Rattus norvegicus: one gene and its partners. The protein of the gene in region 3 interacts with the protein of the main gene of each other region in a pairwise test. Links are inferred from orthologs where the notes say so. Each region holds a gene or a part of one and is shown on either strand. Other genes may lie near its edges.

Evidence for each region.
Region 1: the proteins of Cdr2 (region 3) and Scnm1 interact in binary tests that used the Homo sapiens proteins (3 or more experiments, as listed by UniProt). The two-hybrid records come from large-scale screens. The link is inferred for Rattus norvegicus from reciprocal best matches to the Homo sapiens genes CDR2 and SCNM1.
Region 2: the proteins of Cdr2 (region 3) and Tbc1d22b interact in binary tests that used the Homo sapiens proteins (3 or more experiments, as listed by UniProt). The link is inferred for Rattus norvegicus from reciprocal best matches to the Homo sapiens genes CDR2 and TBC1D22B.
Region 4: the proteins of Cdr2 (region 3) and C2h4orf46 interact in binary tests that used the Homo sapiens proteins (3 or more experiments, as listed by UniProt). The two-hybrid records come from large-scale screens. The link is inferred for Rattus norvegicus from reciprocal best matches to the Homo sapiens genes CDR2 and C4orf46.
Region 5: the proteins of Cdr2 (region 3) and Fam161a interact in binary tests that used the Homo sapiens proteins (3 or more experiments, as listed by UniProt). The two-hybrid records come from large-scale screens. The link is inferred for Rattus norvegicus from reciprocal best matches to the Homo sapiens genes CDR2 and FAM161A.
Region 6: the proteins of Cdr2 (region 3) and C5h1orf216 interact in binary tests that used the Homo sapiens proteins (3 or more experiments, as listed by UniProt). The two-hybrid records come from large-scale screens. The link is inferred for Rattus norvegicus from reciprocal best matches to the Homo sapiens genes CDR2 and C1orf216.
Region 7: the proteins of Cdr2 (region 3) and Enkd1 interact in binary tests that used the Homo sapiens proteins (3 or more experiments, as listed by UniProt). The two-hybrid records come from large-scale screens. The link is inferred for Rattus norvegicus from reciprocal best matches to the Homo sapiens genes CDR2 and ENKD1.

The regions. Positions count from the first base shown.
Region 1 is NC_086020.1:185,391,023-185,395,000, reverse strand, and holds the start of Scnm1 (sodium channel modifier 1), read left to right. Parts: upstream 1-1,178; 5' UTR 1,179-1,289; coding exon 1,290-1,340; intron 1,341-1,392; exon of another isoform or gene 1,393-1,445; intron 1,446-1,558; coding exon 1,559-1,629; intron 1,630-1,891; coding exon 1,892-1,980; intron 1,981-2,076; coding exon 2,077-2,171; intron 2,172-2,275; coding exon 2,276-2,364; intron 2,365-3,978. Other genes in the region: Lysmd1 (lysM and putative peptidoglycan-binding domain-containing protein 1), read right to left, coding at 199-378. UniProt on the Homo sapiens protein: As a component of the minor spliceosome, involved in the splicing of U12-type introns in pre-mRNAs. Plays a role in the regulation of primary cilia length and Hedgehog signaling.
Region 2 is NC_086038.1:7,619,561-7,623,625, forward strand, and holds the start of Tbc1d22b (TBC1 domain family member 22B), read left to right. Parts: upstream 1-1,265; 5' UTR 1,266-1,300; coding exon 1,301-1,356; intron 1,357-4,065. Other genes in the region: Tmem217 (transmembrane protein 217), read right to left, coding at 946-998. UniProt on the Homo sapiens protein: May act as a GTPase-activating protein for Rab family protein(s).
Region 3 is NC_086019.1:184,935,037-184,938,536, reverse strand, and holds part of Cdr2 (cerebellar degeneration-related protein 2), read left to right. Parts: intron 1-635; coding exon 636-784; intron 785-1,023; coding exon 1,024-1,185; intron 1,186-2,639; coding exon 2,640-3,500.
Region 4 is NC_086020.1:167,059,911-167,063,940, forward strand, and holds the start of C2h4orf46 (renal cancer differentiation gene 1 protein), read left to right. Parts: upstream 1-1,230; 5' UTR 1,231-1,308; coding exon 1,309-1,488; intron 1,489-2,867; coding exon 2,868-3,023; 3' UTR 3,024-4,030. Other genes in the region: Etfdh (electron transfer flavoprotein-ubiquinone oxidoreductase, mitochondrial precursor), read right to left, coding at 641-674.
Region 5 is NC_086032.1:101,209,491-101,213,493, forward strand, and holds the start of Fam161a (protein FAM161A), read left to right. Parts: upstream 1-1,203; 5' UTR 1,204-1,439; coding exon 1,440-1,460; intron 1,461-3,846; exon of another isoform or gene 3,847-4,003. UniProt on the Homo sapiens protein: Involved in ciliogenesis.
Region 6 is NC_086023.1:144,183,760-144,187,880, forward strand, and holds the start of C5h1orf216 (UPF0500 protein C1orf216 homolog), read left to right. Parts: upstream 1-1,321; 5' UTR 1,322-1,493; intron 1,494-1,958; exon of another isoform or gene 1,959-2,683; coding exon of another isoform or gene 2,684-2,768; intron 2,769-3,573; coding exon of another isoform or gene 3,574-3,578; coding exon 3,579-4,121.
Region 7 is NC_086037.1:50,503,617-50,507,914, forward strand, and holds the start of Enkd1 (enkurin domain-containing protein 1), read right to left. Parts: upstream 2,801-4,298; 5' UTR 2,511-2,800; coding exon 2,426-2,510; intron 2,346-2,425; coding exon 2,151-2,345; intron 1,275-2,150; coding exon 1,102-1,274; intron 1-1,101. Other genes in the region: C19h16orf86 (uncharacterized protein C16orf86 homolog), read left to right, coding at 3,031-3,114, 3,353-3,570, 3,904-4,148, 4,222-4,298. UniProt on the Homo sapiens protein: Microtubule-binding protein which regulates microtubule organization and stability. Promotes the stability of astral microtubules and facilitates the proper orientation of the mitotic spindle.

The DNA of each region.
Region 1 (3,978 bases), on a different chromosome or scaffold from region 3:
CCCCACTCACCCACCTTCACGGGAGCTGCTCCTCCCACTGGGATAGCTGGGCAGATCTGGCCCAATAGTACTACACAAAGATGTGAAAGCAAAATAAGAAAAAAACAGGCCATAATATAATTTGGGTAATGTCAGAGGTGGTTGCTTAGCGGGCCACCCACTTTCTCCTGGGGACTACCTCAATCCTGGAAGACTCACCGTCACCCCGTATTTGAGTGCTAATCCAGCCAGGGTGTCTCCAGGCTCCAATTGATGCTCCAGGCGTCTTTCCCTCACTGGGGAGCAGGATGATTGTACCAGGCTTCCATAAGAACGAGCACGGCTCCCACGTAGCAGCCCTGACCCTCCGAGGGGAGGCTGTCTAGAGGGCGAAGCCATCTCCTCACTTCCAAGATCTAGGGTCACAACTGAGGAAAGCCCAGCTAAGTGACCAACAGTGACGGCTGAACCCAGAGAATGGATATTCAGAAAATTCTTTTTCTCTTTTCTCTTCAGTCTCCCGACTCTCGAGAGACTACATTCGTCCTCCTCCTCTCGATGCTTCTTACGGAGCTCGGAATTACAGTTCGTATCTTAAGAAGTCTTCCAGGCCGGTTACATTTCTTCTTCCTCAAGCCCCTTACCCATAAATATCTTCCCTGAGTTGTCAGTCGCTGACCCCGTGGACTTTCGACGCCCCCTCCCCAACTCCTCGCAAGCCTGATCTCTGACCTTTGAACCCTAGACACCCTCATTAACACTCTTCCCTCAGTGTGTCCCTACATCCAACAGTCAGGACGCCGGGAGCCCCCACATCCTCTCTGTTCCAAATAAAACCCACCCCAGGTAGGTTGTGGCTGAGGAGGACGAGCCTGAGGACTACAAGTTTGCAATATAGAGTCCACTGAGATCCCCCGAAGCCTCCCTCCACCTCAGGAGGGTCCCACCCTGAAATTCCGGCTCCACGTACAGGATCTTGGGTCTCCAAACACCTGGATCCTTCGAGATGCGAGGACCTGTGTCCAGGTGAGCGGTGTTCTCTCCAAAAAAATTAAAAAATAAAATAGATAACCAAAAGACTTCATTTCCCAAAAGGCACAGCGTCCAGGCAGTATCATAGGAAATACAGATCCCCTCAGGGCGCTGGAGGCGGGTCTTCCGGCTTGCGCGATGCATGCGTGGAAAAGCATCCCCGGAAGTACAGACTCAGAAAGAAACCGGAAGCAGAGAAGGCGATAGTGTACTCTTCCTACGGTGGCCTAAAGGAGCAGCGAAGTAGGCGTAGAATTTATCATATTCTCATAGTCGCGATGTCTTTTAAGAGGGAAGGGGACGACTGGAGTCAGCTCAATGTGCTCAAAGTAAGCCCTAGTGAGAGTCACCTGATCACCTTCAGCCGCCCTGTTGCTTTGGTTTGTTGCTTTGGCGACATCTAGGGGAGGGTGTTAGGGGACCAGAACTGAGAGGTGACCCCATTTTCTACCCTATGATCTGCATGGCCCCGTGCCATTTGACTCCTCTGTATTATTTAATATCCATCCGTTCCTCTCATTCATTTCTTCTATCCTGCTTCCTGCAGAAACGAAGAGTTGGAGACTTGCTAGCTAGTTACATCCCCGAGGATGAGGCGCTGATGCTGCGGGATGGACGGTGAGAGCGAAGAGTGGATCAAGCCTGGGGATTCGGGGATCAGAGGCTCAACAAACTTTTGTTACTAAGGAGTTCAGGAGTATAATAGTATTCTTTGGCTGGAAGTGAAGGGGTGGAGATTGGGAAACCTGGGAGTTGGAGGAGTGCTATGACAGAAGTAGGATCTACTCACCATAGCAAGTACACCGCGACTGCAGGCTGGAACACAAAACACACGCGCACACGCACACACACTTATAATTCACTTTTCTTGTTTCCCTAGCTTTGCTTGTGCCATCTGCCCCCATCGACCAGTACTGGACACCCTGGCCATGCTGACAGCTCACCGTGCAGGCAAGAAGCATCTATCCAGTAAGTTAAGAGAAGTAGGGAGGGCGGGAGATAGAGAATGAACTCTTGACATTTTGGCAAAATCTTTTCATTCTCCCTTGCTTTTCTTCTTCCTAGGTCTGAAGCTTTTCTATGGAAAAAAGCAGTCAGGCAAGGGAACAGAGCAAAATCCACGACCGCAGAACGAACTGAAGACAGAAAGCAAAACTGAGGTGAGGGCATCAGTGTTGTTTAGACGGGGCTATACTGCACGCAACAGGCATGAGGGGCCATTTGCTTCTGACAGCTTTGACTCACTCTCTTCTCTCATTGTCAGGCTCCTTTGCTAACCCAGACTCGAATAATCACCCAGAATGCTCTACACAGAGCTCCCCACTATAACAGCTGCTGCCGGAGGAAGCACAGGTCAGTGGAATGAGAAAGCCAGGAGTGGAAAAGGGTAGAAGCAAATAGATGACTTTAAAGTTATTACTCTGCAAACTGTCTTCTGAGAAATACTAATCTTGTGGAAATTTTTTTTTAATGACAGTTAATGATTTTAAAATAAAACTTTAGGAAATGGAATATTGTAGCATAATCCTACTTAAAAATAGTAACATTAAGGGTTGGTGAGAGAACTCAGTGTTTAGGAACATAAGGGGCTCTTCAGAGGTCCTGAGTTCAATTCTCAGCAACCACACAGTGGCTCACAACCATCCATAAAGGGATCCGATGCCCTCTTCTGGTGTGAGGATGTACATACAGACAAAGCACTCATATTTAAAAATGCATAAATAAATACATTTTTATAAAAAGAGGGGGCTGGAGAGATGGCTTAGTGGTTAAGAACACTGACTGCTCTTCCAGAGGTCCTGAGTTCAAATTCCAGCAACCACATGGTGGCTCACAACCATCTGTAATGAGATCTCATGTCCCCTTCTGGTGTGTCTAAAGACAGCTACAGTAGACTTATATATAATAAATAAATAAATCTTTAAAAAAAAAAAAAACTAGTAACATTAGCAGGGAATGGTGGATGGTAGTACACTTTTTTGTTCCTTTGTTACTGAGACAGGGTCTCTCTTTGTTGCCCTGGCTATCCTGGAACCCTGCTATTTAGACCAGGCTGGCCTAAATTCAGAGATCTGCCTGTCTCTGCTCCTCAAATGTTGGGATTGAAGGTGAGCAGTTCCATGCCTAGCTTTGGAAAGTCTTAATACAAAAACTTAGAACTGTATTTGTCAGGTTCTCTAAAGTCACAGAATGTATAGAATGTCTCTCTATAGTGAGGGAATTTATTGTGGTGACTTACAGTCTACATTCCAACTATCCCAAAAAAGGGTAGCTGTGGATGGGAAGTCCAAGACCCTAGGAGTTGCTCAGTCCCATGAGGCTAGTTGTTTCAGCTGGTCTGCTGTGGACGTAGATTCCAACAGATGTGCTGGCAAGTCAGTGCAAGCAGGTGAAGAAGAGTGAGTCTTCCTACTTCCAACGTCCTTATGTAGACCTCCGACAGAAGGTGTGGCTCAGATGACGGTGTGGACCACCACTCCTGGATCTGGGACTTGCTTTGTTCCAGGCTGACCTTGAACTCAGAGGTCTCCTGGCCCGTCTCCTGGGATTAAATGCCTGTACTACCTTGCCTGGGCCTAAGCTTTTCATGGCCACTGTGGCTCAAGATCTCCATGCCAATATCCAGATCAGATACTTGTGTCTTCCAACCTCAAGATCTGGATCACAGATGTGCCCTCCAATTCTGGATTGTAGTTCATTCCGGACATTCTCAACTTGACAACCAGGAATAGTCATTACAAACTATTAAGCTAGTTTTTCCTTAAATTCCTTTTTTCCCTTTTATTTTTTATTTTATGTGCATTGGTGTTTTTACTGTATGTATGTCTGTGAGAGGATGTCAAAGGTGAAGTTTAAGATACTTGTGTGTTGCCATGTGGGTGCTGGGAATTGAACCCAGGTCCTCTGGAAGAACAATAGCCAGTGCTCTTAACCATTGAGCCATCTCTCTGGCCCCAGCTTTTCTCA
Region 2 (4,065 bases), on a different chromosome or scaffold from region 3:
TTGTCCTCTGCCCTCCACACTTACACACACACACACACACACACACACACACACACACACACACACACACGCACGCCCACACGCATGCACGCACGCACAAATAAATGTAATATTTTTTTAATATTTAGAAAACAGGGTGTTAGTACAGAGATGGATTGGGGGGGGCAACCTGCACACATCTACAGTTCCTTGTCTGAACAAAAATTTTTTGGGGTGGGTAGAAAATCTCCATCTTCCCTCGAAGTGTCGTCCCAGGACACACTCCAAAAAGAGAGGTAGTCATTAACATGACACCCAAAGGAGACAACATGCTAAAACCAGATCTCATTTCGAGTCGAAATTAGATTGAAAAATTAATCTGTAGACGGAAGATTTATAACCGGTTAATAAAGGGGTTGAGGCTATTGGGGTAGATTCTCCATCTTCCTGATCGTTGCCATGGAGATGTCCAACAACCCTTAGAGAAAAACGGTACTTGGAGGGTAAAACAGTATTTCCTAAGTACGACTTCTCAGTACCTCGATCCTCACAAGCAGAAAGAGTAAGACCCGAAGGAGGGATTACATCACGAAGTTCAGTTAGCGGAAGAGAGGGAAACTCTGATCAATCAACTGCTATTCATACAATAGTTCCCCGCCCTGGGGTCTGGCCGGAGCTATCGTCTAAGAAATTGGGATCCTAAGGGAACAAGGAGGGGGCTAACCACCCTGGGTGCCATTGAGGTCTCAAAAATGGTCTCCATAATTACATGAGACCTTACTTAAGACTAATGTATATAAATGTTATGGTTTCTCCTTCCCTCTCCCCTCCAGGAAAACCCCAGAACCTCAGCCCATCAAAGGCAACAGTCCCATCTCCTTCTTCCCATTCCCAGCAGGTCTTTTTCTTTTTTTCTTTTCTATTTTCTTTTCTTTCCTTTTTTTTTTTTTTTTTTTTTTTTTTTACCTGGTTCTCTGCCTCCGGGGAGTAGGAACTTTCAGCCCCGCCTTCCTGCCCATCTAAGCCCCGCCTTCCCGGCCCACCTGTGTGCCCAGCCCATGACGTTGCCGCGGGGCTTCAGCGGCCGGCAGGATCCCGGATCCTTATTGGTCCATCCGCTCACCGGCCTGCACAGCCCACCAATGGCAACGGCGCTGGGCGGGGGGAGTGCCCACATCCAAGATGGCGCCCCCAGGAGCTGGGAGCGGGTGACCGGCGGCGGGGAAGCGGCCTGGGCTGGCCCTCAGATTGCGGGGTCCCGGGGGCCTGTCGCGGGGCGCCCCCGTGACCCACTGACCAGGCCTTCCCCCGGGCCAGAGCGATGGCCGCCGAGAACAGCAAGCAGTTCTGGAAGAGGAGCGCCAAGCTGCCGGGGAGGTGAGTCCAGGACGCTGAGGGGAGTGGGGATTGGACCCAAAGCCTTCCAGATCTTGATCTCTGAATCCCGCCGTCTTGGGGCGCCCCCGAGGCCGGAGGGCTGGTGTCGGGGTAGCCCAGGCTAGAGCAGCTGTCAATCAGAGGAGCCTGGCCAGCTTGGGTGTGGGGTGCAGTCTAGGGTCTGGGGGCGGGGAACCTCAGCTTGGAGGTGTCAGGGAGCCCGGTGTGAGGGGCAGAGGAGTTGGGCGAGTTGACATTGTCAGTCTGGCCTTGGAGGGCCACCTGCAGACCGCTTTCGACTTTGTACCGAACTACTCAGGGGTCTCCAACAGCATGGGTGGCTGCCTGCATGAGGGTGGATGGCCCCATGGCCTTGGGTCCCAGTCCATCACCTTCCTGTTTTCTTTTTGTACTCCCCAGGGGTTCTGATGGGGCAGGCCTGCAGGGTATGAGCAAGGGAAAGTGAGGGGGAATTCTCAAGCCTGACCTTACTTTGTCTTGAGTTGGTCCTTTCTCATTAGAAATTATTACAGGGTGGCCACAGGGTGGAGAGTAAGTTACTTCTGACATTTTCTAATCACTTGCGCAATCCCTGAGAAGTGATGTGCTTTTAGTGTAGATGCATTAAATTCTCTGAATCCTCAGTTTTGTTGGAGAGCAGGCCTCCTGAGTGACTGACTTATTTTCTTAGTGTTTCTTTCTCTTCTTGGTGTATGTTGACATTCTGAACAATTGTCTGTCTGTCAGTCAGCCTTTGGATTACTGGCTCAGTTTGTTTTGGGTGGTGTCCTGAAAAGTGAAAGCCCTATGTGTTTTCACTACTGGGTTTAAGATTTCTGCCAGTCACAGGCTGCTTGGTGTTAGAATTTGTGTCTGATCATGGCCCTCAAGTGTTATCTTTCCTTAGTGATTTGCCTGTAAGTCTTTTTGTTCAGGTGTACTCCTTTGACTTGTGACCTCGATCTCTTACCCTCCTCCTTTCTCTCCCCCCTCTCTCTCCTCCCCTTCTTCCTCCCTCTCTTCTTTCTCCCTCTTTCCTTCTCTCCATCTCTCTCCACACTATTGAGGACGCTCTACCACTGAGCTGCACACAGCCCCCTCTCTTTAAGTGAAAGAGAACCGAGAGTCAACCTTGGCTGTGTAACTTTTCTGAGCTGTCATTAGACACGTGGAGAAAGTTTAGGGACCAGGTTTTAGCAACTCGTATTAATATAATACCAGGGGAGGCAAGGGTAGCTTTGGTTTGAAGTGCTGTGGGGGTTAACGGTGTTCACACATTGAACAGTGACACCGTGTTTTTAGATAAGCTCCGCTTCCTGCCACTGATTTCTTTTTCCTTCCTGCTTGAGCGAGCTCTCCAGTCGCGCTGACTGCTCTTCTCTGGGAGTTTGCTACAGAGGGATCATGACAGTTTGATATCCTGAGATAATAATCGGTGGGGGGAAAAACTGGTTACGTCAGGAAGCAGGGGTGAGGGCAGTGGGAGATGGGCGATCTTTGTGCCTTTGGACGGCCAGATGTGGTGCACTAATGGTCTTTTGTTTCCTTTATTTCTTCTACTGGCCTATGGGAAGTCAACTTTTTAAAAAGTACTACTTTAAATAATTACATTTATTTATCTGTTTAATTAGTGTGTGTGTGTGTGTGTGTGTGTGTGTGTGTGTGTCTCCAAGGGTGTGCACTTGTGCATGTCACAGTGTTCAAGTGGAGGTCAGAGGAGGACAATTTACAAGAGTCAGTTCTCTCCTTCCACCATGCGGATCTCAGGGATTGAACTCAGGTCATCAGGCTTAGGGGGAAGCATCTTTATCTGCTGAGCTGTCTTGACGGCCCAAAAGCATTACTTTTGCTGGAGTAGGTGGACTCTTCAGTTTCTCCAAAGCTCTGGCTTCCTCTTTTCATTTTGAAACGTGGAGCCTTGGCGGCGAGAATTTTGGAGTCCGGGTCATCATGATTTATCATTGTTGTTATTATTTTACTTTTATCATCATCGTCGTTCAGATCCTCTTACCTGCAGGAGTCGCAGTCTACCTCAGCTTCAGTTTCCTTCATAGGGGAATAAAATCTCTTCCCTCAGAATCATCCGAAGGCTAACGGGAATGCCCTATTTGTATAGAACCCATTGTAAAGAACCTAGGACAGCGTTTATTTGCTACACAGTACTTGCTCCATAAATAGTCATTATTAATTACCCCCTCGTTATTAGAGCAAGCAAACATTTAAAAGGATGTTTCTCAGCTCCCAGGACTAGTTATTTGTCTTTTTTATTATGGAGGCATAAAAATGTTGCCATGATCCATAAACCACGATCCATACCTTGCCTGGCCAGGGGAGTGTTATCCCCTGTACACGCTCGTCAGAGAGCCCCAGAGCTCAGGGCTGTTGGGAAAAGCTGCTGTTCGTTCCCATAGAAGGCATTTTGGTTCCAGAACAGAACTTTTACATCTGAACTCTTCCCAGTCTGTGGAAGAGGCGTTTCCTCGTGATTCAGCCGATGAACTAGCTAGTGCCAGGTCCTCAGAAGTGTAGAAAGAAAGTTACTTTTCTCTTCTTTGCAGTTTGAAAGGTGAGAAAAGTGTAAATTGTAGCTGGTTACTTTCAGTTTCTTTGATCAGGATGGAGAGACCTTAGTGACAGCTGGAGTAGAAATTTTGTTCGAGCCTACAGCCTACATTCCAAAAAACAACAACAACAACAACAACAAAAAAA
Region 3 (3,500 bases):
CGTCTCTCCAGTCTCTGTTAAAATATTGTGTTTAAATTTTTGTCATGTTTTTCCAAGTTTTCTTGAGAGATTATCATATTTCATTTTGGGTTTTCCTTCTGAATGTCGAGCATATAGTTTGTAAAATTAGTCTAGCCTCATGGAACGTAAGAGTTTTGGAAAGCATTAAATTAATAGAGCTAAGCACATCAAGAATAGCTTATGCTGTTTTTATTATTAAAACAGGTAGTTTTGTTGGGGTTTAGCATTCTCTTTTCCATTAAGTAAGCTGATGACACTGGTAGAGTAAAAAAAATTCACATTTGGTCTTTGTCCCTGAATCGTGGCTTAAAAAGTCTTGTAAAACCATTATTGTCCAGAGTATGAGGGATGGCCCACATTATTAGCTAGCCAGGAGAAGTGTGGGCAGATAGCAATCAACTTTAATTGCCGAAGCCTTTGACAGAACTCTAAAACAAGGCTATGGGAGCTTCTGGACTAGCAAACATCACCATGCCAGGAGGGTGCTGAGCCTGCAGGTGGAGGCCCTAAGCCCTCACCTGGCATTAGTTGGTGTTGGAGAACCAGAGAATTGGTGTTAAGCATGCAGGTTATCTTATCTGTTTGTGTTACCTGATCTCACTCCTCTTTTATAGTACCTGACCAAGCAGGTGGAGCTTCTACGGCAAATGAATGAGCAGCATGCAAAAGTTTATGAGCAGTTAGATGTTACAGCAAGAGAACTGGAAGAAACCAACCAGAAGCTAGTTGCTGAGAGCAAGGCCTCACAGCAGAAAATCCTGAGGTAAATTTCTAACTCTTACAGGGGCAGTCTACAAAGGAATTAGTATAATTCGAAGTACAATGTGCCTATAGAAGGTTTGGGCAGTCTAGGATACGGGGTTTTTCTGGAGAAGGAAGATTAACTGTAAGTTCTTTCCAATTAAGAAAGCCAAGTTTGAGTGGCTCACACCTAATCCCCTTCATTGGTTTTGATCTTAATTTAATTTGACAAGCAGTGACTGGCTTCTGTTTTATTCACAGCTTGACAGAAACAATTGAATGCCTGCAAACCAACATTGATCACCTCCAGAGCCAAGTGGAGGAGCTGAAGTCTAACCAAGGAAGAGGGAGGCAGAAGGCATGTGACCAGGAGAGACCAGCACCAAGCTTCTCCTGTCTGAAAGAGCTGTACGACCTCCGCCAGTAAGAGCCTGCCTTGCTGTGGATTTGCAGACTGGGACCAGCCATGTCATGACACGTTCTAGATCACAGTAGATGGAAAGCTTCATTTCCAGGATCGCCCCTCAGCTGCTAAACCACCAGTGGTTTAGACAGAGCTGCTGACCAGAAACCTATCAGGGAGCGTTTCTGGGTGTCAGTAATTTTATGAAAACAGTTTTTATTTTTTTTTTTCATTTTAATTTGTTAAATATTAGTTTAAAATTAGTAATACTTCCATTGTAGTACAGATTTGGGAGTTGTATTTCACTTTAGAATGAAAGAAAAAATGGAACCTAGAAGCTAGATTTGGTAGCTCAAATTCCAGCACTCAGGAAGCAGAGGCAGGCTCTGTGAGTTCTAGTCCAAAACATAGCAAGTTCTAGGACAGTTAGGACTATACAGAGATCTTGTCTCAAAAGACAAAAGGAGTATTTTCACCTAAAGAAATAAGTAATATATAGTGTTGACTTTGAGTCTTTAATAATGCTTACTAAACACCTATTATACTGCAGTTGATATCCAGAATTGATGGCCAAAATGGACATGCTCTGTGTCCCCCAAGCCCTTCATTTTAATGGAGAGCTCGATGCTCCATAACCAAGACACAGATAGGTGCGAGCTGCCCCAGACTGAATAGGACAGAGGCCAGTTTGTACGTCTCACACTTTGCTTTTTCTCACATTACTTATGGCGATTTGGGGCTTTTGAGATAAGGTCTCATTCAGCCCAGCTGGCCTCAAACTCCTGATGTCCCAAGTGCTGCTGAGATTACATGTGTGCATCCAGCACTGGCCATGTTCTCCAAGGGCAAACACTAACTCTCCTCAGGTCAGAATTTCTAGGTGTGAACCTAAAGCTGCCCCGGTGGTTCTGATGTGGATCTGAGGTTAAGGTCCAAACATTGGTTTCCTCAACCTTGGTTTCACATTATGGAAAACATTTTAAACTCCATAGGTCCCGGCAGAAGACCAACAGTGTCCAAACCAATGGTGTGAGCGCTAGGTTTTAAGATCACCACCCAGCTGATAGTGACCTCCAACTAGTGACGAGAATCTCTGCCCACCATATTTCCCAGTAAGCAGCTGTATTCTGCTGGTCTTGGAGTGGGTGTTCTATACTACTTTTAATATTAGGGGGAAAAAAGTCACAAAAACTGTATTTGTTTGCTTTCAAGAATTTGCCAGCCTTGGGGCTGGGGATTTAGCTCAGTGGTAGAGCGCTTACCTAGGAAGCGCAAGGCCCTGGGTTCGGTCCCCAACTCCGAAAAAAAGAACCAAAAAAAAAAAAGAATTTGCCAGCCTTATGTAGCGTCATATACCCACTGCTTGTAGAATGGAATGGGCTAAAAATTGATGTCGTGGTTCTTAAAGACTTAGTTGAAAAGCAGCCTCCTTCGCAGTGCCAGTTGACCTTTCTGTATTTCCATGTTTCCTCAGACACTTTGTATATGACCACGTGTTTGCTGAGAAGATCACTTCCTTGCAGAGCCAGCAAAGCCCTGATGAGGAAGAAAACGAGCACCTGAAAAAGGCAGTGACGATGTTGCAGGCCCAGCTGAGTCTAGAGAGGAAGAAGCGAGTGAGCGTGGAGGCAGAGTATAAAGTGGTGCTGAAGGAGAACAGCGAGCTGGAGCAGCAGCTGAGTGCCACAGATGCCTACCGAGCCCGGGCACAGGAGTTGGAGGCAGAGGTGGCCGAGATGCGGCAGATGCTGCAGGCAGAGCATCCTTTTGTGAATGGCGTTGAGAAGCTGGTACCCGACTCCCTGTTTGTTCCTTTCAAGGAGCCCAGCCAGAGTCTGCTGGAGGAAATGTTCCTGGCTGCTCCAGAAGCACATAGAAAACCACTCAAACGCAGCAGCAGTGAGACGGTGCTCAGCAGCCTGGCGGGGGATGACATCGTGAAGGACCATGAGGACACTTGCATCAGGAGAGCGAAGGCTGTGAAGCAGAGGGGCATCTCCCTTCTGCATGAAGTGGACACTCAGTACAGCGCCCTGAAAGTGAAGTATGAAGAGCTCCTGAGGAAGTGCCAGCAGGAGCAGGACTCACTGTCACACAAGGCTGTGCAGACCTCCAGACTACTGACGAGGGACCTGACAGGGCTGGTCCCGCAGTCTGAGGCCGGGGCCAGTGGCTGGGAACCCACCCCTGTAAGCCCAGAGCCCATCAGTTCCCCCACCACTACACCTCCAGAATACAAAGCACTATTTAAGGAGATATTTAGTTGCATCAAGAAAACAAAGCAGGAAATAGATGAACAGAGAACAAAATACCCCTCCCTCTCCCCTTACTCGTA
Region 4 (4,030 bases), on a different chromosome or scaffold from region 3:
TCAGTAGTGATTTATATTAAGCCAATTACAAAAGAATTCAAGATCCTCTAAACTTGTTTGAATTAGGGGGTTGTTTTCAAGTAAAAACTTAAAACTGTCATGAAACTGCTTTTAGAAGCACCCTTAACAGAAAACGCCTGGAGTTAACAGGATAATGCAGAAAAATTTCCGACTCCAGACATAATTGTTGATACATGAGTTACACGATATGACAGGTCAGACTTCAATTAAGATTGGACTATCATGGCTGCAAAGATGAAAGTCAGGTCAGAACCAAGGAGACAACCCACACAAGTTTTTCTTTCTTTCCCATTTCTAATAAGGCTGCAGATAATACCTGAGCCTTGGGGTAAGGATTAGGACCGGCATTGGGGGGGAACTCCACCGAGGGGGCAATGTTGACATTTTCCTCTTCTCATGACCTTTAACCTAGATGTTAATTCTGCCAACTGGGGCAACTCCAAGGTCGGCAAGCCAGGGTCCGCCAACAGGCGCTGACGGCATTGACCTTTGCCCTAGTTTAGCCTAAGAAAACAGACAAGGAGAGAGGTGTTTGCAGTACCCCAGGTGTGGCCCCAGTCTCTTTTGTCCCAACTTATCCACCATGCTCCATCTGTCCCCACCAGGAGTTTCATCTCACCAGGGCAGGACAGCTTGGTTAGTCGCACCAACATGTTCAAAGTGACCCGGAGACTTGATCAGATACAACAGAGAGAGGCGGGTCTGTGGCTTGAGGACGGCGCTGGACTTCTAGGCCACGAGGGGCGCCATCACCTGCCAAGAAGCCCCTACTGCTCAGCTTCTGTCAGCCTCTGGGATCTGCTGATCGCCCTTGCTTCGCGGCGTACCCGCCCCTCTTCTGCTTTGCGCCGGCGCCACAGAGGACACGATACCCAGTAAGGTTTCCGGGTCACGTACAAGCGAGGAGAAGGCAGAAGACTCCATCTCCCAGTCATCCTCATCCAGGAACCTAGTGTACGGAAGAGGCCCACACGGTCTCGCATGTGCGCGTGCGCACTAGAAGCATAGCGGGGATGAGTCGCTCAGCATTCTGGGAGTTGTAGTGTTCAGCTCCAGTGTCTCCCGATCCGGACCCGAGGTGTGCGCAAGGAGTGCCTGACTTGATATCTGATTGGCTGTCTGGGAAAATGAAAAGTACTTGTGGTCCAGGGCAGAAACAAACGAGAAGATGGGGCGGGACTCCGTGTGGGAGGAGGCGGAGCCTGTGGGCTTTGGGCGCGAGCGGTCGAAAGGCAGTTGGTGAGGGTTCGGTTGCTCGGTCCTGTCCGGCGGTACCAGCTCAGTCCCATGGCTGATTCTGAGGAGTTTCGGGCTTCTTCGCCACCGCCGCCGCCTCCCTCGTCTCCGTCGTCAGGCGCCTCTTCATCGTCCCTCAGCATGCCAGTGAGTTTGGGCTGGCGGGGTCCGAGCCGGAGCCACGGTCCAACGGTGGACCCGCTGGAGCAAGTGGAGCTGCAGATCGGAGATGTGAGTGTGGCCGCTGCGGCCGGGAGCTGCTTGCAGCTAGGGTGCTCCTGCCTGCAGTTCTTGGAGTTGAGGGCTAGCCTCGGCTCTCTCCGTCCGCATCTTTCTTTCCTTCTTCTGCTTGCAGTCACCCACAGCACCGCTACCGGGATCCTCTCTCCGCCTCCTTCCATCCTTCGGAACATTTTGAGCAGGGACTTGAGCCTGCGCTTCTTGGTCATCAGCCCAGGGCTAGCTGGTGATGCTATTTATTGTGTGTCGCATACTTGCTCTGTGTTGGACTTGAGTGGACCAGGGCTAATCACAGCCGGCAGCCGAGGTCATTGGTTTCACTGATGGTTAGACAGAACAGATTAGACATCCCTGTAATGCAAAAATTACGGGATTTTTTTTTTCAATCTCGAATTCCCAAAAATCACTTCCTGACTCCCAACACATATGACACTGAGGTGGTTGGAGGGTCACAGCGTCACTTTATAAGGACTCTTGAGAGGGAGAGAGGAATGAAGTATGTAGCGGACAAACTTTCTGGGAGAGCGTTGTGGAATAACCACACTAAAGATTGGAAACTAGAACTGGTTGACAGGTTTTTACTGTTTCATCAAAAGAGATGGCTAAAGTGCTGGTCCAGGTTTTTAATTTTTTTTCCCAAAACAATACTGGTTGCAGATAAATGTGTAGAATAAATGCTGATGTGATATAAAAAAGTGTTACTTTATATATTTTTGGTGAGGAAAACATTTGATTTAAAAGTGAGTTTTTCATAGCTGTGTGTGATGTTAGATGTTCTGTCAGCTCAGCTCAGAATATCAGTTCTCTGATTTTTTTTTTTTTTTTGTAGTTCAAAAATAAATGTTCATGGGTGAAAATAGTGGAACAGAGCTATTCTTACCCAGTTGCCAGCAAAAGTGGTTTATGAGGAAGTCCTTTGGATGGCTCTGTTACTTTTAGTCAAGAGGTTTCCAGATTGCCTTGGTGAAGTATACAGGAATTGGGGGGTGTTTTCTGTTAAAAATACTGACTTGTCATATTTAGTGGGTGTTTTTATGGCAGGTATGTTTCCTCAATATGAAATTTTGTTTCCTTGCATAATGAAAAAAATTTAGAGGTTCTGCGTGTAGGTCAGGTAGAGCTATGTGTCTCCCATGTTCTGAGACTTTGGGTTAAAGAAAGAACCAGTGTTTCTTTGAAAATTCCTTCTTTTAAAGAAAAACATGTGGGCCTTTGATTGAAGGTTTTAAGCTATATTTAGACTATGAAGTTAGACGAGATTTTAAAAAAATAAGCGTGTATGAGGTCCAGAGCGTGGCTCAGTGCTAGAGGTTCTGGGTCCTCATACCATAAACAAACCCATTTGACTTTTTTCTTTCATTAAATTTCAGGCGGCATTTTCATTAACTAAACTCCTCGAAGCCACATCTGCAGTATCAGCTCAAGTGGAAGAACTTGCCCTGAAGTGTACAGAAAATGCACGTTTCCTTAAAACGTGGCGAGACCTCCTGAAAGAAGGCTATGACTCGCTGAAACCCGACAACTAATGCCTGGCCCAGAAGATGCTGGCACATGGACCGCATGTGTGGGGCTGCCCGACTCCAGACATTTATACTGAGAATGAAACTCTTCTTAGTATTCTTGCTCTGTGAAAGCAGAATACTGAACTCCTCTTATTTGCTTATGCGTTTTCCCTGATATGACAGTGTTTGCCTTAAGTGCTTTCTGCCCTCTAAGCTTCTGTAGTCTTCCTTTATGAGAGCTAATTCCATCAGTAAGTAACTGTCATACTAGAGAGAAGATGACAAAAATGCTTGAGTTGGGAGTTGACCCCGGTGTGTCTCTTGAGGCAGGCGATGAAGATTTCAGGAGCATGGTCCAGCCCCACAGACTTCCCTTATCCCAAATCCCACAGCCACCCCCACAGCACTCACTATCTGTGAATAAGACTCGATGAGTATAATTGAAGGAAAAATACTCTTTTTTTTTTTTTTTATGGGAATTTGACATTTTTTTTGCCTTGAAGCAGTCTCCCTGTGAAGGCTTCTGTCTTAGTCTCTTGAGGGCCAGGACTTCTGGTGTGCAACACCGTGCCCAGTAGAAAGTTTTGAATTTTGATGATGATTTTAAAATATATTTTTACTCATTCTATGACTATTTTTAAAAAAGCTTTTACTTCATAAAATGAAAACTTTTATAGAATGCATACTTTTTTTTCCTATTTATTTTTATACTTAACTGCTTCCATAGTTGATATTTCTCTTGTTGGTGTTCTATATGTTCAATTGCTGTCTTTGAAATATCAAATTTATGGCTGTATGCTAAGTATTATTAAATGGAGCTTTGCAAGTTATTTATGTAATTCTAAAGTTGGTTTCCAGTGTCTAACGTTTAACCGTTTGTATGGGTTTGCTGTCAGTTGACCTTAGTGTTAAGGTTCCAGTTTATCTGTACTGTGTTTTATGTATTTAGTGCCATCTGTCTTCAAGCCATGTACTACTTTGATACATAGGAGTTTGAAGTATCTTTGATGTGATGTCTGTGTCGATACATT
Region 5 (4,003 bases), on a different chromosome or scaffold from region 3:
CCTTCATACCCATTATTTACTATTTCATGATCCTAAAACCATCAGCTTACAGGGCTTCAGTCTGTAGACAGGTCTTGTTTTTGAGTTGGCTTACACCAAATCCCGTCACAGAACTAGCTGTCATTCCGACGGCTATGGATCCCTCCCCACCTCTAGCTTTTCAGAACCAACCAGTACCCATCAGTTCCTGCAAGAGGCAAGCTCAGCCAAACCAGAGGAGGCAGGGAAGGTGAGGTGATGGAGACCTCGCAGGGGCGAGCAAGGAAGGGCTGGTAGCAACTGCGTCAGAAACAGGTTCAGTGGAAGGCGAGCCGCATAATGTGGAAACTACTGGAACCTTATGGTGGGGACAGGGGCGCTACTTCTAAGTAGTGTTACGTTGCAGGTGGCTGAGACTTCACTGAAAGACCATCCGAAGCGGCCAAAAACCTAAGATCGATCAGGAGGCTGGTGGGGTTGAGCTGGGAGGGTGTGGTCCCTGTGGGTTCTCCCCCTCCAAGCCTGCGGCTAAGCTAGCTGCAGAACCCCAAGACAAGCTACCCCATCACTCACTGGTCCGAGTGACAGGCATTTCCTATGTCTAGCGTCTTACTGGTCAGTCGAGAAACAGGAGGGCGGGACAAATAAGTATTCTCCCTCTGATTGGTCAACTCGTGAAATTCTTGTCAATTAGAGATGAACTGCGTTCTCCGCCATGTTGAATAGCACGCTGCATAGCCTGTCCTTTTCTTGGGCTGGTCACCCAACGCCCGTTCTTTCCTGTTCCTCTGTGCTCTAATATGTTGATCCAGTTAATAAAAACGCGCTTTCTGCGTATACCGCGAGAAGTCCTCGTTCAGATAGAACGAAATAAAGCTAGAAACCAGAGAAAAGCTCAGTCCCTAGCTGCGGATCTGGGTGTCATTCAAGAGAATCAGTAATAGTCCCGGTGCTGATGAGATTCCATTGAGCAAACTCTCTTGAAGACTGCGTTTTACTTTAGCTTACTGTGGTAGTCATTAGTGTAGATTCGGATAGTTATGCTTCTAGAATGCCCCGTTAAACCGCAGGATTGTATCAGAAACCATCATTAGACGTTAGCTGGACTCGGGGCTCGCATTTGTGACAGTGAGAAAGGACGTTGCCTGCGTTACGGTCCTTCGCCACCTCCTGTAGCGTCCCTAGTAACCGTGCCCCTAGTAACCGCTCTCCCCAGCCAGGATCTGCGAGCGAGGCGGCGGCGCCAGCTCACCCGCCCCGGGCCGGCGCGGGCGCTCGGGCTCGGAGGCGGGGCGGTGGCTTCGCCGCACTAGGCTATCAGACTGGCTGCTGCCAACCTCCACCTGCCCGCAAATCCCATCACAGGAGCAAGGGCCTCCCAGTACGAACGCGAAGACCCCTTATAGTTCTTGGTAGCAGCGGCGTTGGCGGCGGCCGTGGAAGAGAAACAGAAGAAAAGGATGTGGCAGATACGGGCGTCGGTAATGTGGGAGCCCGGCGGGGTCTGGGGGCTGTCCGGGTCCTCACCAGCAGGGACGGGTGGAAATGCGGTGTCCTCTGCAGACCCTTCCTGCTCTCTGCTCCAACTAAAGACTAATGCAAAACTTTCTTGGAGAGCATTTTTATAGCTATTTCTAGAGTGTGCACAGAACAGAATTCTACTTATTTATTCTCCAGCATATCTTGAGAATAAATATTCTTCAGTTTTTTAAATTTTTTTCTATTTTTAATTTTTGTTTTTTCCCTTGAGGAAAACTGATGTGCCTATCTATAGTTTTCATAAAACCTCAGATGATAAGTTGGACTGACAAGTGTATTTTATCGGTTTTGGTTAGTAGTGGATTTTAGCAGTCCTTTAGGAAAGCCTGTTTGAAGTTCAGTGGACAGATGCTCCATAGATATAGAGAAACATCCAGATAAATCCCCGAAATCCCAAAGTTTACTAAAGGGGCCATACGGGTGCAGTGAGGTCTTCTCGCAAAACATTTTCAGTATTATGTCCTGGATGCATTTCTAGCAGGAGGGCACAGTCTTCCTCTATCCTCTCTACTTCTTTTCCATATACATATGGATTATGGTTTATTTATTTTATACATATGAGTACACTGTCGCAGTCTTCAGACACACCAGAGGAGGGCATCAGATCCCATTACAGATAGTTGTGAGCCACCATGTGGTTGCTGGGAATTGAACTCAGGAACTTGGAAGGGCAACCAGGGCTCTATCCGTTCTATTCATTTCATTTGTTTGTTTTTAGATTTATGTGTATGAATGTGCGCAGTGTGAGTTCCTGGGAGTTCCTGACGGTTGTGATGGGGGCTGGGAATCAAGCCTAGGTGCTCTGCAAGAGCAGCAAGTGCTCTTAAGCCATTGCAGCATCCTTTTTAGTTTGTCTCTTGAGACATAGCCATGGCTGTCCTGGAACTCAAACTCACAGAGCTCTGCCTGCCTCTGCCTCCTGAGTGCTTGGTTTAAAGGTGCATAGTAAAATGCCCAACTTTTATTCACTTAAAAAGTCTAGCACTCTGCTGGTGTAAAGCACCAGGAAGGAGCATGTCTGTGTGTGTGTGTGTGTGTGTGTGCACGTGCACATGTGTGTATGTGTCCCCACCCCAACCCCTGCCACTTGGTTTCTTAGCAGTGCTGGGGGTGGGATGAAGGGTTTGTGCTTTAGGCAAGTGCTGTACTAACAGCTACAAACTTGGTTTTTGTTTTATTTTAGACAGGGTCTCCTTTGGTTCAGGATTGCCTCAAATTTGCTGTTAAAATCCTGACCCTCCTGCCTCCATCTTCCCAATACTGGGATTCAGGCACCGTGGCTGGCCTGTATCAGCTCTTTCAAGGTTATGTAAAGTAGACAGAGGCCCAAACCACCAGAATCCTAGGACTGGTTTATACCTGATAAGGCTGCCATTCAACACAATCTATCAAAGGTTACAGAAGGCAGAATGCTGGAATGGAGGGAAGGAGTTGGATTCTGGATCAGAAGCCATTGTCTGCTACTCGCTGGGTGATTATAGGACATGACTTCTGTTTCTCTGTCTGTAAAAGGACTATAATCGCCCCCATCTTCTGTTAATAAGAACCAGAGGAGAGAATGGGTGTCATTTCTAGAGAGTTTACATAAATTCGTAATTATAACTGCCAGCTTGAACAATTCACTTGGAAACTGACATATACTCTGGCAGAAAGGTCTGTCCTTTGTATAGTTGTGCTTAGGTTCCAAAGTGCCCTGCTCACTGAAGATTTGTGTTATAAGTGGAGTTTGGGTTTCCAACACCCACATACACACCTGGTGTGTTGGCTTTTGTGTATAATCCCAGTGCTTCGGGAGGAGGAAACAGGCAGATTCCTGGAATTTGCCGAAAGCCCCATCTCAAAAGATAAGATGGACTAGGGAACTCACCCGAGATCGGATGTTCCTGCAACTGATGCTCACCCCTGCACAGGCTGGGAAACTCCTTCTGCTCTCCTTTCCCCAGCCCCGCCCACCTGGGAGAAAACTCAGGCTAACACATCATCACTCCTCTCCGAATTCCAGACAACCTGCCCAAGAGTGCCTCCCCGGGGGCTCAGATTCTGACCACACGTGCACACCAACCATCCCAGCTCCTAGCTAGCAGATCTTCACTCCTCACAAAGCTCTGTAAAACCCCCTTGCTTTAGCCTGGATGTGACGTCACCGACCTCCACCTGTGAGATCGATGAACCCACCCAAGAGCTGCCCCCTAATAAACCTGCCTTTATCCACTTCTAATCCGGTCTAATCCAGCCTGTATCTGTGTCACCGAGGGGAGAAAAAGTCTGTCATTGACCTCTGGTGCACACACACACACACACAGGCACATACACACAGGCACACAGAGACAGAGAGAACCTCAACATTTAATAGAGACATCAAAAGAGATTAAGGATTAGCCACCATAGTAGGAGGCCTGGAACAAGGCCCAGAGGGTCCCACATTCACTGAGAGAAGCAGTGAGGTGAGAAGTCAAGTGCTTCACATCAGTTCCCTAAAAATGAA
Region 6 (4,121 bases), on a different chromosome or scaffold from region 3:
CAGTGAGGTCAGACTGAAGGAACAGTCCCATCAAAGTCTCCTTGGTGAACCGATGAGTCGACCAGGGTTGGTTATCAGTCAGGATTCACTCACAGGGCCATCAAAAGCTCAAAGGCAGCTAGGTCACTGAAAACCGGAATCCAGCTAAGTGACCACTCACAAAGTCTGCATCCCTGGAGCTTCCAGCACAACTTGCAGGCAGCTCCACTGAAGAGTCTCTGTTGCCCCAGCAACCCCTTAGGTCACTCACTACCTTGAAGAGGGCCCTCGGGAATCTTCTGGATCTCACAACCCTCCCTCTAATGCTTCAGTTCAGAGTAAATGGCTACACAGTAACAGGGAATGATCAGAATCTAGGGTTACCTCATCACGTTTAGTGTATTAATTCAAGAATCTTTTGATTACCAGTTTGATAAATTCCACTCGGGTTGGATATGGCAAGATATGAACTTCATGGGAAGGCATCAAAACTAGAAACTCAGGAAGCAGAGGCTGGGGCATTAGCCAGCCATGTGTCTTCGTCTCCGTTCCTGGGTGTCCGCTCCAGCGCCGCACATTTTCCCCTATTACACAGGCTTCTTCCAGGTGTCAGGAAATGTGATACTGCAGCCATAGTCTGAAATCCTCCTGTCTAAAGGAAGAACTGTGACTTACCTGGAGTGGGATTCCATTCTTAGTTACACACGCACACACAGAGACACTAACACATATACATAAATAAAAAATAAAATCTTTAAAACTGGCTGCAGGTGATGGAGCGCGCCTTTAATCCCAGCCCTTGGGAGGCAGAGGCAGGCGGATCTCACTGTGCGTTGGAGGCCAACTTGTTCTACGTAGTGCTTTCCAGGACAGCCAGGGTTTCATAATGAGACTCTGTCTCAAAACAACAAACAAAACAATAACATCCGCATAGCTGTCACTAAGTGCGTTTCATCAAATAGGTATAGTACAGTGAAGGGACTTAAAAACAAACAAACAAAACAGGTCTAGGAGTCAGCAAGGATCCTAAAAGTAAATGGGGATGAACAGTTCAGCAGAAAACGTGACGAGCTGGAGCAGGGAAAGGACCGCAGCGAGTGCTGCAGCAGGATGGGACGTGCACCGCGGCCTCGCCAATTTCCTAGCCACTGAGAAACCCAGGAAGGAGTTATTTCGTCGCTATGTCTACAGCAGGAAAAACGATGGATCGGTGGCGCCTAGCCAGAGTGGTTAGGAGATGACACCGGACCTAGAAGGCTCTCGGGTCAAGCCGCGGGAGGAGGCAGTTCCTGCGCGGAGAACCGAACCGGCCCACGTGAGTCAGGCCGCCCCGCCCAGCCGCGCAGACGCCGCTGGACTCCGCAGTCCGGGCTGGGGCTGGGACGGCTGTGCCAGGACCAGGCAGCCGCGCCACCGCGCGTGCACGCGCAGGTCCAGGACCCACCCCCAGCCTCTACAGCGAGCAGGCCCCGAGGAACCATAGCAAACCCCGCAGGAGCGGGCGCCTCTAGGCCGTGAGTCCGGGCCCTGATGGAGTGCTTGGGGCCCAGCCGCCTGAGGGTGGATTGGGGAGCTGCCTCTGCAGAGATCAGGGTCACTGTGCTCTCTGTCCCCTGTGAGGCTGCCAATCCCCGTGCTACAGTCCCCTCCCTTACCCCTACACTATAGATTAGCTGGGAGGAGAGGGGGATCCTGATCTTGGGATGTCTGGATTCATTTCACTGACTTTTTGAGCCTGGATGCTTAACCCCACTGTCACCCCACCCCACCCCAACTTTCTTTGTAAGCCTGGCCAAATTTAGGAAATTTTTTTTTTTTATTCTTTTTTTCGGAGCTGGGGACCGAACCCAGGGCCTTGCGCTTCCTAGGTAAGCGCTCTACCACTGAGCTAAATCCCCAGCCCCTAGGAAATTTTTAAAATAGAGTATGTATGTGTGTATGGGGCGGGGGGGGATTGGGGGTGTCTTCAGGCCTTTTCTTACAAGCCAAAGGGGTGGAAACATCTGTCCCAACCTCAGTCTCCATGACTTCTGCCTATTGCTGGGTGTGGGGAGGCTCCCTGCCACCTATAGGGGAACCTTCCTAGTGGCTGCTTGATTGACTTAATGGTATGTTTCACTCATGAGGCCTCAGTTCTTCCTTCTGGTCATAGACGTGTGGTCAATGGAACGTCTTGTCAGTTCATACTCAAAAGCGATTATTAGGGAAGAGAGAGAGGGAGAAAATCAGCATGGAGCAAACTGAGTCCCATGAACATGTACCAGGAGCACTAGAGGGGAAGGGACAGACTTGCAAGAGAGGCTTGTCATTGTGGGTTCAGGAGACAGGGGTTCCTTAGTGTGGAGGAGGAGAAAGAGACCAGCGCTTCAAGCCCTGGGTCTCTGCTGTAGCCGCCTTCTGGCATTATTACTGTCTTCCTAAGAACAGGAGCCCCACGGTAGCCCCTTAGTCACTCTCTGCAGGTAATTACTGATACCTGCTATGGCTGGCTGGGTTTGCTCTAGAGCAGAGGTTCTCAACCTTCCTAACACTGCGACCCTTTAAGACAGCTCCTCATACTGTGGTGACCCCCAAGTAGTAACTTGTTGCTACTTCCTTTTTGTTTGTTTGTGTTTGTTTTTGTTTTTCCGGACAGGGTTTCTCTCTGTAGCTCTGGCTGTCCTGGAACTCGCTCTCTCTGTAGACCAGCCTGGTGGTAGAACTCATGAGATCCACTTGCCTCTGGGCTCAAGCACTGGGATTAAAGGCGTACATCACCACCGCCCAGCTTCTGTTCCTACTTAGTAACTGTAATTTTGCTACTGTTATAAATCGTCATGGAAATGTGGTTCTCTTATGGAATATATCTGTCCATATCTATACATCTACATACATGTAGACATATGTTCCTTTTGAAAGTATAATTTGTTATTTAGCTGAACGTCTTTTTAAAAAACATTAGCATATCTGTGTATGCACACGTGCATGTGGGTGAACAAATTGGCCAGAAGACGAGGTTGGGATGAAGCTAGCCATACAGGCAGTTGTGAACCACCTGACTTGGGTGCTAGGAATGGGACATAGATCCTCTGGAAGAGCAGCCAGTCCATTTAACTGCTGAGCCTTCTCTCCAACCCAAGTTTGTATTTTTAGTTGGAGGAGGGTCAGTGGAATGGCTGTGACAATCACTTGGGTCAAAATGACCAGAGCTAAAGGAGAGTTTGACAAGATGTGGACAGTGAGGTGGCCATGGGAGGAGGGTGAGTAGTCCAGGTCCTCCTAGGCATCTGGGTGGCTAGACTCAGCAGAGTGTCCTGCCAGAGGACGCTGCAAGGAGAGCTGTCTGGATGTGTAGAATTTGAAGAACCGGCGGTAGGTCACAAGGTTGAGTAGGGGTTGAATCTGGGCTGGACACGGATCTGAGAGTTGCTTACACATGATGGTTCTCGAAGCTGTAACAGGATGAAGTGACCTGGGGAGAAGTTTGTAGAATGACGAGATGGGCAGCCTTAAAGGGAAACCCCGCTCTGTGAAAGCCACGAGGAGGTTACTGGGCTCAAGGTTGTCATTCCATCCTCTCCTGCTGTGACTCATTCTTCTGCTTCTCCTTCACAGTCCAGATGTTTGCTGCTATCCAGCCAGGACTAGCAGAGGGGGCCCAGTACCTGGGGAGCCTGCCTCCTGGAGTATGTCACCCGGACCTCCAACCAGACAGTAATTCCAACTTCGTGGAGAGCGCTAAGGATGCTAATAAGAACTGGCATGGTGTGGATCCTATTCTGATAAGAAGCTCCTCTGAGTCGCCCTCTGATAACCGGGTCTTCCAAGCCACTGGGCTCCCTGAGGCCGGAGTCCGCAGTCCCCCGGAGGGTGCAGAGATCCCTGGTGCTGAGCCAGAGAAGTCGAGTGATGCCAGCAGCGTCTGCTCTCCTCTGGAGGACATCGGCTATGCCAGCAGTTCCTTGAGCATCAGCAGCTTTAGCAGCAGTGCAGAAGCTGGCTGTAGCACCCCTCGAGGTCCAAGCCCCCTGGATCCCCTTCTGCCCTCTGTGGCCCAGGCCGTGCAGCAGCTGCAGGCTCAGGAGCGCTACAAGGAACAGGAGAAGGAGAAACACCATGTGCATTTGGTGATGTACCGTCGCTTGGCGCTGCTCCAGTGGATC
Region 7 (4,298 bases), on a different chromosome or scaffold from region 3:
TGGTACATGCCTACAGTCCCAGGACTCAGGAGGCTGACGCAGAAGTAACTGTTTGGGGCCAGGCTAGGTTACAGAGAGAATTCAAGGACAGCCTAAGGCTAAACAGCAAGCTACCAACTCAGAGAGAAATCATCTGGGAGTGGTGGTCCAAACCCATTTTGTCCACATCTGGGAGGCTAAGACAGGAAGGAGAATTATGCCAGTTCAAGGCCAGCCTGGGCTACAGGAGTTTGAAGTTAGACTAGGCTACACAGTGAGACCCTGTCTAGAAACAAAGTAGCAGTGGAAGTGGTGGTGGTGGTGGGGTATGATAGCACCCAACAGTTAAGGACACTGGATGTTCTACCCGGGAATGTGGCTTCCATTCCCAGTATCATGTGGCAATTCACAGCTCTCTGTAACTCCAGTTCCGGGAGATCCACACCCTCTTCTGGTCTCTGTGGTGCACAGACATACATGCAGGCACCCAGACACATAATTTTGGTCTTTTTTAATCTCAAAAAAGTAATTAACTAAAAGAAAAAGAAGAGAGAAAGCAGCGTGGTAGCGCACACTTTTGATCCCAGCACTTGGTAGGTGAACAAAGGAGCATCAGAAAGTCAAAGAACTTGAGGTCAGCCTGGGCTACGTGAAACATAGAGATAGAGACAGAGAAACTGAGAATGAATTAGTAGGAAGGTTGAGGATATAATTTTATGAGTACCCAGTGTGCGTGTGCCCCAGGATCCAATCTCCAATATCACATGTTGATAAGTAACTTAGGTAGTTCTTTCAGATATGTATTTAACTGGCTTTCTGTTCTAACCTTCTGCTTTCCCCCTACAAATAGAATTATATCTATATGCCCATTGCCCCTACTCCCTGAGCCCAGAACTTTTACCTACCTGTGGGGTTTCATCTCTGGGGAACCTTTTCTTCCTCTAGCCTAATCCTCACTTGCCCTGATGCCATCAGTTCCTCAGAGAAGGTCCACCAGATGTCTTAGTCTTTGTGAACACACCACACACACACACACACACGCACGCACACACACCCCGTAAGTTAGATTAGATATAACTGCCTTGGCCAAGATGGATATGTCCGCCTGCCTGAGACAGATACCTTCATCCTGGCCTTGACTCGAGACTCTACACTGTCATACTTGGGTGAGCGCCACAGTGCCTTCAGGGGCTTGGGCTGGGCCTGCTCCCGGCTGCGTTCCTGGTCTTGGAATCGCCTCTGAATCTCTTTGATCCGCCTCAAGTTTTCCTTCTCATGGTCTTTTGGATCCTTCCCTGGAGGAGGGGAGGAATGTTGCTAGGAACAGCCCTACGAATGGCTGTGCAACTCAGACTAGATCTCATACAGATTCACACCCTACCCCTGGGAGATGTCCAGTATATGAGAAGCCCTGGGTTCAATCTCCAATATCACACACAAAGTTCTTAAATACAACCAAGACCTCTACATGGAAGTTGAATGCCATACACACAGCAACATTAGCAGCTTATTCCCTTACACAGAAATTGTGATTACCTTCTACATTTTATGATATCACCGAGTATATTATACATATGTCCTGTCTTGTTTATTGACTCCCTTACTTCTTTCCCCAAAATTTATTTATTTATTTATTTATTTATTATTTTTTTTTTTTGGTTCTTTTTTTTTTCGGAGCTGGGGACCGAACCCAGGGCCTTGTGCTTCCTAGGTAAGCGCTCTACCACTGAGCTAAATCCCCAGCCCCTTATTTTTTAATTCACATTATATCCCAATTGTAACCCCCACCCCAGTCCTGCCCCTGTCATATCCGGCTCCCTATTACCCCCTTCCCTTCTCTTCAGTGAAGGGGAAGCCCCCCTTGGGTGTTACCCTACCCTGGGACAACTCCCATACTTTTTAACCTTGTTTTCCTAACAACCATAGGGCTTGGCACAAAGTAGGCATTAAGGGAACTGTTCTATCAAGGTGTGAAAGCTTGAAGCTGGAGCTCTCTGCAGAAGGATGAACTCTGATCCTGCAAGAAGTATTTTGCCCTTCTTTTAGGCTAGAGAAATTAAGACCCAGAAAAACACATTAACTGAATGGGTTCAAGGCGGTTAAGAAGCACCCTATTTTAATCTCTGCTTTTGACCTATGAATGCCTCAATACCCCGTCTGCAAGGACTTACTCTTAGGAGAGACCCCTGAACCAAGGGAGATGCCCCCCAGTTGCAGCAGCACGTCCCCCACACCTCGCTGGCCACGCTCTAGGATCTCTCGGGCTCCAGGCCTGATGCGAGGGCCACGAGGAGGGCTGGAGTCCAGGTCGCGACCTGAAGTCAGCAGGTCCAGCTTCAACGCGTTTCCTTCCAGGCGTCCTTGGGCTGAAGAGCAAGACGCGGTGGAAAGCCGTGCTCAGAGGTGGGGCGGGGTACTCGCCCCGCCGCGGCACCCCGCAACTCACCCGAGGCCGGCCGCCGGTAGTAGTCCGGGCAGAGAGTAGGGTCTGGGGGGATGGGTCCAGAGATGCGGGACGGGCCCTCGCACATGATCCTACCGTAGCCCTGCAACTGTGCATCAGGACCTGTTGCGCTGTGCAAATGTCCCCTCTAATCCCTGTCGGGTGTTTCCACCCTCCACCCGAGCTCTGTAGCCCCGTGGTACCCCCCATCACTGACCCCCACCCCTCGACTACCGCTCGTTTCCTAAGCTCAGCCCGTACCACCGCCCCGCGACTAGCACACGGCCCTGAGGGGTTCGCGGCCCCTCCCCCTGCAAAGCCCCAGCGTGGACTCTCACTGCAGCAGTTTTACCGCCAACTGTAGCAAGTCGGTAGGAGTTGCTGTTGCTTGGCAACAAATGGCTTCCTGAGGTCAGGGGTCAAATGACTAAGGCGAAATGCCTTCTGGGGTTTGTAGTTCCAGATGAGGAGCGAGTCTAAGTCTCGGGTCGCAACAGGATCCTTACCTCTCAACCTGTCTCCCCTACCAACACTGAGCACCGGTCCAGCCCTGCTCTGGGCCTGCGGTCTTCTCTGAGCAACCGTCGAGGGATGCATTGATTCCTGCCATGGCCTCAGCAGGGGCCAAGAGGCAGCCAGAAGCCCAGAATGGGGCAGCAGTAGGGTTAGCCCAGGTTGCAGAGATCCCTGAGGTGACTTGGGCATTTCAAAGCTCAGGAGGAGGAGGGGTAGGGCAGAAGAGCAGGACTCTAGGTGACCCAACCTTCTAACTGCCAGGCCAAGTCCTGCAGGTAGAGGGACCTAAGATTTCCTATTCTGTGGCCAATATGTAGTTAGGAGAGGCCCCCAAACCAAGAGAGATGCCCCAGTTGCAGCAGCTTTGGGCTTTGCCTGACCATGGGCTATCAGTTACCTATGTATGTCTTCTAGTGTCCAGGAACAGAAGAGTGTCTGGTGCCAGCACACGAGACCTGCAGCACTCCAGGTGAAGACAGGTGTCCAGTAGGACACAGCTTAGAGCCAGAGCTCCAGGAGGAAGGAATAAACCTGGGAGAGGAAGGGCTCAATCCAGGGGTGGAAGCAGGAGAGGAGAGAGGACCCAAGCCTACATCATCCATCGTGAGGCCAGCTCATGGGCCCAAGAGAAAGTGAGAGGGCTTTCAAGGGGAAAGGCTGGGGAGGTGGGTCTTAGACCTGGAGATTCCTAAATCCCAATTCCTTCAAGGCAAAGAACCTTGTTTTCTTCTAATGCCCTCACCTCCAGCTCCTGTTTCTCTAGAACAGTTGGGGCGGGGGTGTGGATTTGGGGCTTCTTAGTCTTGTAGGAGACTTAGCTACCATTGAACGCTGGGCCCCTGTTGGGTTTGGAACTTCACTAAGAAATGGACAGTTAACTAGCTCTAGTGTGGCTTGGTGGACAGGCAGGGGTAAGCCCTAGGTTCAAGACACAGGAACCAAAGACTGAAGCCTACCTCTTTCAGGCCTCTTGTCCCAGGCTTGAGTACCCCAGCCCTCCCAGGGCAAAGCTACCATGCCCATCCTAGGGCAGAGGCCGAACTGCCACCAGGGCTGCTGCTACAGAAGGAGGAGCCAGAAGGCAGCCACAGTGAATCCTCGCTGTCATCTAAACAGCACAAAAAAGCCAAGAAACGCAAGAGTGTAGGGGCTCCTGTGCCCCCAGCTGTGGCCAGCGCATCTGCACCCACAGAGACCTTGGGGCTGGAGCGTGAGTGGCAATCCCTGGGCTTTTGTTTTTCCCTTTGTCTTTGAGTCTGACGTGGCACAGCCTGGTGCTCCAGCCTTTGCTGTGCCTTGGGTTCTTGCAGGAAAAGCCCAGCGCCTGCGGCCACTGTACCAGTACATCAACTATTGCAAC